Macaca mulatta: one gene and its partner. The protein of the gene in region 2 purifies or fractionates together with the protein of the main gene of each other region. This does not show direct contact. Links are inferred from orthologs where the notes say so. Each region holds a gene or a part of one and is shown on either strand. Other genes may lie near its edges.

The links.
Region 1: the proteins of SLAMF6 (region 2) and SH2D1A purify together in Homo sapiens (co-immunoprecipitation; 5 studies listed by BioGRID and IntAct, with this or other methods). This does not show direct contact. The link is inferred for Macaca mulatta from reciprocal best matches to the Homo sapiens genes SLAMF6 and SH2D1A.

What each region holds. Positions count from the first base shown.
Region 1 is NC_133426.1:130,790,585-130,795,138, reverse strand, and holds the start of SH2D1A (SH2 domain-containing protein 1A), read right to left. Parts: upstream 2,955-4,554; coding exon 2,818-2,954; intron 1-2,817.
Region 2 is NC_133406.1:106,356,914-106,361,311, reverse strand, and holds the start of SLAMF6 (SLAM family member 6), read right to left. Parts: upstream 2,921-4,398; 5' UTR 2,833-2,920; coding exon 2,784-2,832; intron 20-2,783; exon of another isoform or gene 1-19. UniProt on the Homo sapiens protein: Self-ligand receptor of the signaling lymphocytic activation molecule (SLAM) family.

The DNA of each region.
Region 1 (4,554 bases), on a different chromosome or scaffold from region 2:
AGCTCAATTAAATCTTCTTGGTTAATAGGAGTAAACAAAAGATAGAATGAGAAACCATTCTGAGTAAACCCTACATTCAATGCATGTTTGTCAGCTATACCTTGTTGTCCATGTGTACGTGACACCATTTATATTGTTATTTCGACTACATATCATAAGCATAAGTGTTTTGGTTTAAAATGAGTACATGGTTTATTTCTAAATAAAATTTGATTTTATAATTACAGTGTAGCACCAAAAAGAGGGAATGAATTTTTTACATTTGTCAAAAGGGACACTCAACTCAAAAACGTTGAGAAACTGATAAAAGGCAATGTATCCTTATATCTTCCCTCTGCAGTACATTCTGGCTATCACCCAAACAGTCTCATAAGACTTTGAGTCCCCAGTGTACCATTTGAAAGACACCGTAAGGGAACTCCCAATTTGTCTAGTATTTTCCGCTACTTCACAAGGCAGTTTTCATGGAGAACTGAGAGTCATAAAAAAAGCATTTATGCAAGATTCACTTTGGGCAAAAACTTAAATGCTTGAGAATTTCTCACCTGCCTAAGTTAATTCCTCATGTGGTTCTGGCCCACATAGGAAAAAGGCTAAAGTTGTCCTTCTCTCTTGTATATGGTACTTAAGGCAATCTTTTGCAGAAGGTAGGATACACATTACTATTCCTGTTTTATAAATATGGAAACTGAGGCCCAGAGAATTTGAGTGACTTTCCCAGGGTCCACACCCTAACCTCTCGATGTTCATTCCTTTTCTTGCAGTAAAGAATAGAATTTGCCTTAACAGTTTGTTAATTCAAAAATATCTGCTGAGTGCCTATTATGTGTTCCTGTGTTCCTGGTGATGGAGACAATGTCTCCGTCCTCATGGAGATTATATTTTTGCAGGACAGCCCAGCAATAAGTAGGTAAACAGGCAAATTATCAAATAGTTTAAAGCTCTTTGAACAAAAATAAAGAGATGGAGTGAGTGTATCAGGGACAGAGAGAGGGCACTTGTTCTAGATAGGTGGCCAAGCAAGTCCTCTCTGAGGGAGGAGGCAGTTGAACAAACATGTGAACTGAAGGTATTTTTGGCAGAAGGAACAATAAGCACAGAAATCCTAAGTGGGGGCATTTTTGAGGAGCTTGAGAAACGGCCAGGAGCCTGGTGAGGCTGAAGTCTTAGGTGTATCTTGCCTCTCACTATACCCTGTTGTCCCTCCCCTGCCCAGACTTGTTTTGTATGTTCTTTTTCACCTTTGGGTTAAGGAGCACATTATCTCCTTTGTCAGTTTCCCTAAAGCAGCGCCTTTCACCCACCCACTCACTCCACCTTCTCTCAATGAGAAAAGAGCCTAAGAATCCTAGCTGATTTTCATTGCCCTTCCCTAGGTTCCACACGGGAACATAATTATATAAGCAAAACATAAAGATTCAAGCCCAAGACATTCAATAACTTCCACGTATTTCCCTGGAAGCCTTTATGAAAAATGTATTTAGCATGACCTGAGAGCTGCCACAAACAAGGCTTGACCATTTTTGAAAACCAATATACAGTGAAAATCCTCTAGCACCAGCATCAGGATAATCTTTCTTCACTGACCCATAAGGTATTTCAAACTCTTGTGGGGTATCATCAGATGCTGAACTTACTACCAAGCATTTAACCTCATTTGGTTTCTGTCTAGAACCTACTATGCAGGGCTGCTGTTTTCATGGATTTTTTTTATCCTGCTGACAATAATGCTTGAGCTAGGTCCTTCCTTAGAAATGCCCCCATGATTCCTAAAAGAAATCAACTGAAAAGAGAAGATAAAATAACAATATATTTTTGGTATAATGACAATACCAATAGCTTACATTTATTGAACATTTACTAGGTGTCAGGCCCCAGTGCTAATTTTTTTACTGCATTATAGCACTTAATCTTACAATCCTATGAGGTAGGCAGTAATATGATACCTATTCAATGGATAAGAAAACTGGGGGACTGAGAGGTTAATTTGCCCAGGTCACAAGCCTAACATCTGACTAGCACAGGAGAAAGTCTCAGATCTGCCTGACTCCGGAGCCCTGGAGCAAAGACGCAGATGAATTTGATTCAAAATGAAGCCTTAGACTGAGACATGCCTAGGCAAATGGCAAAGCTGAATCATAACAAGGGTGTTTTCCCTCCATTCCCTTTAAGACTATTGTGAGTCCTAACGTTTATCAAGAAGGGTCCTATTTCTGAAATCCCCTGCCCCTCCCCACCCCCCACTACTTTTCTAAAGGATGCTACATCAGCAGATCCAGAGAGGTGATTTTACTCATACACATCCCCCTCCTCTCTCAGCATCTCGACTTTACTGGCATTGCATTCTTAAAGTAATTGACTCTGTTTCTTAATGTGTCTCCTCTCCCTGAATGTCATGCCCTTCCTTTGGGATGACACTTCAAAAGTCGTTTAAAGAGAGCTAGAGTAAGGCTCCCAGGGCACCACCCGATAGGGTTCAAAATAGAAGTGGGGAGCCTGGGTCTTTCCTGGAGCGAAGGTAAACTCTAGACCACATTTCAGCACCCGAAAGGGTATTCTCTGCGGCTGCCCCAAAAGGCTCTGGTGAGGGCCTTCTGGAGAGCAGGTGGCCCAGGGAATGAAATCCCCAGCGAGGGACTCAGGCGAAAGTGTGTTTCACCACGGCCCTGGGCTGGACTTGAGGGCGGACCATGGAGGCGTCGTCGGCGAGCTGCTAATGCCGGCGCCCCTGCCTGCCTCGGCCTCCACCCTGGCCCCAGCTGCCGCTGCCCACCGCCCACACCCTCAGCAGGCCCATGCCCACTGTATCATACTCACAGCACACACAGGCAGTACACTCCTGGCACGCTCTCGCTGTCCCTCAGCAAATAGCTGCCATCCAGCCCAGTGGCAAGCAGGAGCTTCTCGCCTGTTTCCCTGCTGATTTTGCCATGATACACAGCCACTGCGTCCATGACCTGGTGGACTCTTGGGCAGGCCGAGGAGGAGAACTGTACAAGGGAGATGCCACTGCTACTGCAGCCAGGCACAAGTCAACCACCTGACTCCCAGTTCAGCCAGATGTGCAAAAAAGAGAGAAGCACCCAAACAACAGGATGTTGTCTACTTGCCTTAAACCTCCTTCTCACACTTCAACTAAAACGAGCTCAGCAATTTAGTAGCTTAGTTCAATCGAGCTTGCCAAGGGCTTCCATCTCCTGCCCCCCAACACAGGGTTCATACAGAGCGGGAAGGAACATTGGAAGAAGGATTTTGCAAGATTGGGGCTGTACTGCCAACACACACCCTTGCACTCAGACAGGGATGCTTAGTAATGCTTCTGTTCTTGCAGTTTACTCAGAGGCCACCAGGAATAACTTAGCTCAACTAGCCGGTAAGGAGTTGATGATAGAGGCAAGTTGTACATGTCTCTGTCGGTATGTGGACCCATCATGTAGGGCAAAAACATACTAACAAAATGAAAGGATCAAAAGCTCTGAGAACAAAACACTGATGGTTTTATCAGTACTGTCAGTATGCAATCATTACTGAACATGGCCATGAAGACTCCCACAGAATCGGACATAGTAGATTAACAGTGAACTTTGGGCAAGTTCTTCTTCTCCCTCTTCCTTCTACCTCACGCAGTCATCTTGAAAGTCTTGGTCCTGAGTAAATATTGATTTCTTTCCTAACACCTTGTCCAAGGTCCCAAAGTGCTAGTTGAGATACAAAAGTCACAATGTACATCCAAAGATTTTCCAGATTTATCTATTTGATGGGCTTTACATGAGACTGTGAATCATTTAACTGGTGCTTTGCCTTTATATGCATTTGTATGTGCCCTTTGGTGTATAGGGCCCAACTTTCAGCATTTTGGCCATAAAATCTGTTTTGAATCATTTGCAAGTTGTTGATAATATTATTGTAACTTTTATTCTCTGTTGTTTCTAGAAAATGTTATTTCTTCAATTGATGCTAAACTGTCTTTAATATTTTAAAACCTTTCAATCTGCATTTTCTTCTCTGAAATAAAGCATTGCTTCTATTTCAAAATGTGCTAGGTAATATTTCCCCAAAACTTCCTGCATTTTCACTAGAGTAAGACTTTATTTATTGCTGAAGCTGAATGGTCTTATACATGTACCTTTAGATTATGTAAAGTACTTTTAAAATTGGAACTTAAATAGCTGAAGCTATGTCGTCTATTATATGCTTTCTGCAACTTCAGTGTGTAGTTCTTGGAGAATATGGCAAGCCTGGAAGCTCAACAGGGAGAACGACACTTAATTCCTCACGTGGCTTACCAATGGATTGGATGTACAGAGCTGACCTGCACCAAAGGCAGATATTTGCTCTTCATCTACTAGGGTTAAGAACAATCCTCCAAGATTTCAGTGGTAGCTGGTAACAATTTTTCTTCTTGATTGAAGAGTGTCCAGCCTTAGTATGCAAAGTATAAACATAAGTCTCCTACTAGTCATTTTCAGCATTAAGAATTTTTTTTTAAAAGCATTCAAGGTGACATTTGGGGATGGCTCTGGGGAATTGGACCAATATTATCTTATCATCTTC
Region 2 (4,398 bases):
ATTGGTGTCACCTGCGAGCCTGTTAGAAATGCAGAATCTCATTCCCTATTCCAGAATCAGCATTTTAGTAAGATTCTCCCAAGTAATTTATATGCACATTTAAGTTTGACAATTTTCCATCTATAAAAATTGAAATGAAGAAACGAACGAGATTTATTTTCTCTAGGATGTCATGATGCTTGATTTTAGCTATAATTATTGTTTTGTTCTGTTAGTTTTGCCACCCAGGGCTTGAGTTAAAGGAAATGGGATTATTTCTCAATATGGTTTGTCTCTTCAGCTAAATTTTCTAAAAGGAGTCAGGATACTGCCCAACCCACTTGAAAAAATGTAGGCTGGTGTGAGTCATTGTTTTTCATGGTTGTTTCCAACATTGATTTCATTTGCCCCACGCTTTTGCAACAGTGGTCTTCTTTCCCTTCCTAAATCACTCCAGGCTCTTTCCTGCATCAGAGCTTTTGTACACTTGATTCCCTCTGCCTTAAAAGCTTCTTCATTTGACTTTTCCTGTTTAACTTTTCACACCCTTTAAATATCAGATGAGATGTTACTTTTCCAGAAAGTCCTTTCTTCATCACTCCGTCCAAAGCAGGTCCCCGTGTTTTTCTCTATCAAGGTCCCCTGCTTGTTTATTTATTTATTTTTTGCTAGCCTCACATTTTCTAATTATGTATGCATTTGTGTGAATATATGACTGCGTGTAAGCTAAGTAGTGCAGTGAAGTTGTTATAAGCACAGACTCCAGAGCCAGGCTTCCTGATTTCCAATTCTAGCAGCCACTTCTCTCCTTCTGGGTCTCAGAACACCTGCATCTGCCTCCTGAAAACTCATTCAAATGTGTTTCTCTTTCTATACCCATTTCCCCTAGAAGTGTGGGGCAGTGAGCAAGTTACTTAAGTGTTCTGTGCCTTCTTTCCCCATCTGTGAAGTGGAGATTGGAGCACTGTAAATTTCACAGGGTCATTATAAGAAGTATTCATGGAAATAGGGAGAAGAAGAGGAGTTTTAACATGAGGACATTTAGAATATTTTATTCTAGAGGTGGAATTAATTTTGCAGGGAGGTAAAAATGAAGCAAAAACTCAAGATTCTGCTCCCAGGTCAGGAAGTGGCTCTTGAATGAAAGAAAGAATTCTCTCTCTCTGCATTTTATATGTATTTCCCAAAGTTCTGTACTCATTCCAGTTTTCTCCTCAATGTAACATATCTCTATGCCATTGATTTTTTAAGTCTCTAGCCTCAGCCCTACCCCTAGTCCTAAGTTCCCAGGAACTTTCACATAACTTCCTCATGGATAGAACACTGACATCCTAAAATCAGTAGGTCCAAAATTGAACTCGCCTTCCTCCTGTGGCTGCGGTCCACCTTCCAATTTTGTCACTTTCTTTGCTTATCCTGTTTGAAATTTCACTGCCCTCTTTACCATATTTCATCTCTTCCTTTCCTACTTGATTTATTTATGCCTTATCACTACCGAATACACTATTTTACTTATCTTTTTTTTACGGTTTGTCTCCTGCTAAAATGTTAACTCTATGAGAGCTAGAATTTTTGCTTGCTTCGTTCATGATGTATTCATGCAAATTAGAACAGTGCCAAGCATTCAGTAGGCGCTTGATGAATATTTATTCCTGTCCCCTCATTCCAATTGCCAATTAATTTACTTAACTCTATATTGATGGGATCTCTTGCTTCGGTCCCTTCTTTCTTTTATGCTGCTGCCACACTCATTCAACTGTCATTGTTTCTCAGAACTATTACAAGAGCTTGCCGCATGCTGGCTAATGAAATTTGGGCAAATTATTTAAGTGAACTTCACCTCAGTTCTTTATTTTAAAATGGAGATAATAATAGTATAAATTCATAGAATTCTCATGAGACTCATAATGTGTGTACAGCACCTGGAACAATACTTGAAATACAATAAGCACTCAGTGAATGCTTCCTACTTTCATCCGCTGCCCTGGGCTAGCTCTGGGCTAGGTTTCCGTTATCTCCTGGCCTATCTCTGCCTGAATGCTACACTTTGTCTCCCTTGGACCCTTTGTAGTTCCCCAAATATGATACGAATCTTCATCTTCTCCATATAATGGACAGGAGGGAACAAGAAGCCAGTTGGATCAGTTCATTCTTTTCTCACTGCCATATTGCTGTGAGAAAAGCAATGTCATATTACTGTGCTTTTCTCAATGCCATGTATTGCTGGACTAGCTAGTCCTTATTTGCACTAAAGGAGGGGAGAGATGGAAACCTTTTTTTTTTTTTTTTCCCCGCAACGAGCAAAAGGTGAGAGGATTATTTTTAGTGTGTTCGATTGGGCTCAGAAAATTTGGCTCAGCTGAATAATAGGTTTTTAATATTTCAGCTGAGGATAGTGAGGTTCAGGAAGGATAAGTAACCTCCCTGAGGTTCACAGTATGATAGTAGCTAAATTGGTATGAGGGCTCATTTTCTTGATCTTGGTACTCTTTATAACACAAGATGTTGGTCATAAACCAGAAACAGTCTTGTCTTGCAAAAACTTATTTCCTCTGCCCCAGCAAATAACTTTCTTACATGCAGACACAGTTGAAATTGTTCACCGACAACCATCTCAGGCTTATTGCATCCAAAGTTGAGAGGAGGTAGTAGTATATCAGGTAACACTGTGAGTGTCCCCTTTCCCACCCCAATCCCTTGGCAGAGAACCAGACAGACAATTGTATACAGACGATTTAGGTTGAGCAAGCGCCACAAAACCAGGAAGTCACTCAGTGACTACACCGGTCTGCATTGACATTTACCTGGGCCAAAGCAGAAGACAAACAGGAGCGACTGGAACAGCCACAGCATGCTTTCCGTGGTGAAGACTGGTGCTTGAGACCTTGAGGCAGTCAACGTTTTGCTTTTCTGTCATAAACTGAAAATACTTTTTACTGAGACTTCCCCTTCCTCTAGAGGCGTGGTGAGAACTTTTTCTCCTGAACTGAAAATCCTAATTTCTAACTGTGTCAATTTTTTGTTTACTTTTTTCTGAACTAAGTGCACAAATCTTTTTTTTGGGGGGGGGGGGAAAGAAGATAAAGTCCTTTACTGCATCTTTCATAAACTTATATGTAAAAGTCTGTAAGGAATTTCCTAAAATCTACTAGAACAAATAAGTGAGGTCAGCAAGGTGAAAAGATACAAAACCAACATATAAAATTCAATTGCAATTGTGTATACTCACTGAGTAATCTGAAAATAAAATTAGAAAAACAATTCCACTCTAATTATATCAGAAAAATACTTAAATATAAAGCTAACAAAAAGCCAGAAGAAAACTAAATTTTTAAAAGTCTAATTTTTCTTTTCTTCTTCTGTTTTATGTTTTTTCTTTCTTTCTTTCTTTTTTTTTACATTTATCAATTTTATTTTATTTTATTTTTTATCTTATTTCTTTTTTTATTATTATTTTACTTTGAGTTCTAGGGTACATGTGCATAACGTGCAGGTTTGTTACATATGTATACTTGTGCCATGTTTGTGTGCTGCAACCATCAACTCGTCAGCACCCATCAACTCGTCATTTACATCAGGTATAACTCCCAATGCAATCCCTCCCCCCTCCCCCTCCCCATGATAGGCCCCGGTGTGTGATGTTCCCCTTCCCGAGTCCAAGTGATCTCATTGTTCAGTTCCCACCTATGAGTGAGAACATGCGGTGTTTGGTTTTCTGTTCTTGTGATAGTTTGCTAAGAATGATGGTTTCCAGCTGCATCCATGTCCCTACAAAGGACACAAACTCGTCCTTTTTTATGGCTGCATAGTATTCCATGGTGTATATGTGCCACATTTTCTTAATCCAGTCTGTCACTGATGGACAGTTGAGTTGATTCCAAGTCTTTGCTATTGTGAATAGTGCCACAATAAACATACGTGTGCATGTGTCTTTATAGCAGCATGATTTATGATCCTTTGGGTATATACCCAGTAATGGGATGGCTGGGTCATATGGTACCTCTAGTTCTAGATCCTTGAGGAATTGCCATGCTGTCTTCCACAATGGTTGAACTAGTTTACAATCCCACCAACAGTGTAAAAGTGTTCCTATTTCTCCACATCCTCTCCAGCACCTGTTGTTTCCTGACTTTTGAATGATCGCCATTCTAACTGGTGTGAGATGGTATCTCATTGTGGTTTTGATTTGCATTTCTCTGATGGCCAGTGATGATGAGCATTTTTTCATGTGTCTGTTGACTGTATGTATGTCTTCTTTTGAGAAATGTCTGTTCATATCCTTTGCCCACTTTTTGATGGGGTTGTTTGTTTTTTTCTTGTAAATTTGTTTGAGTTCTTTGTAGGTTCTGGATATTAGCCCTTTGTCAGATGAGTAGATTGCAAAAATTTTCTCCCATTCTGTAGGTTGCCTGTTCACTC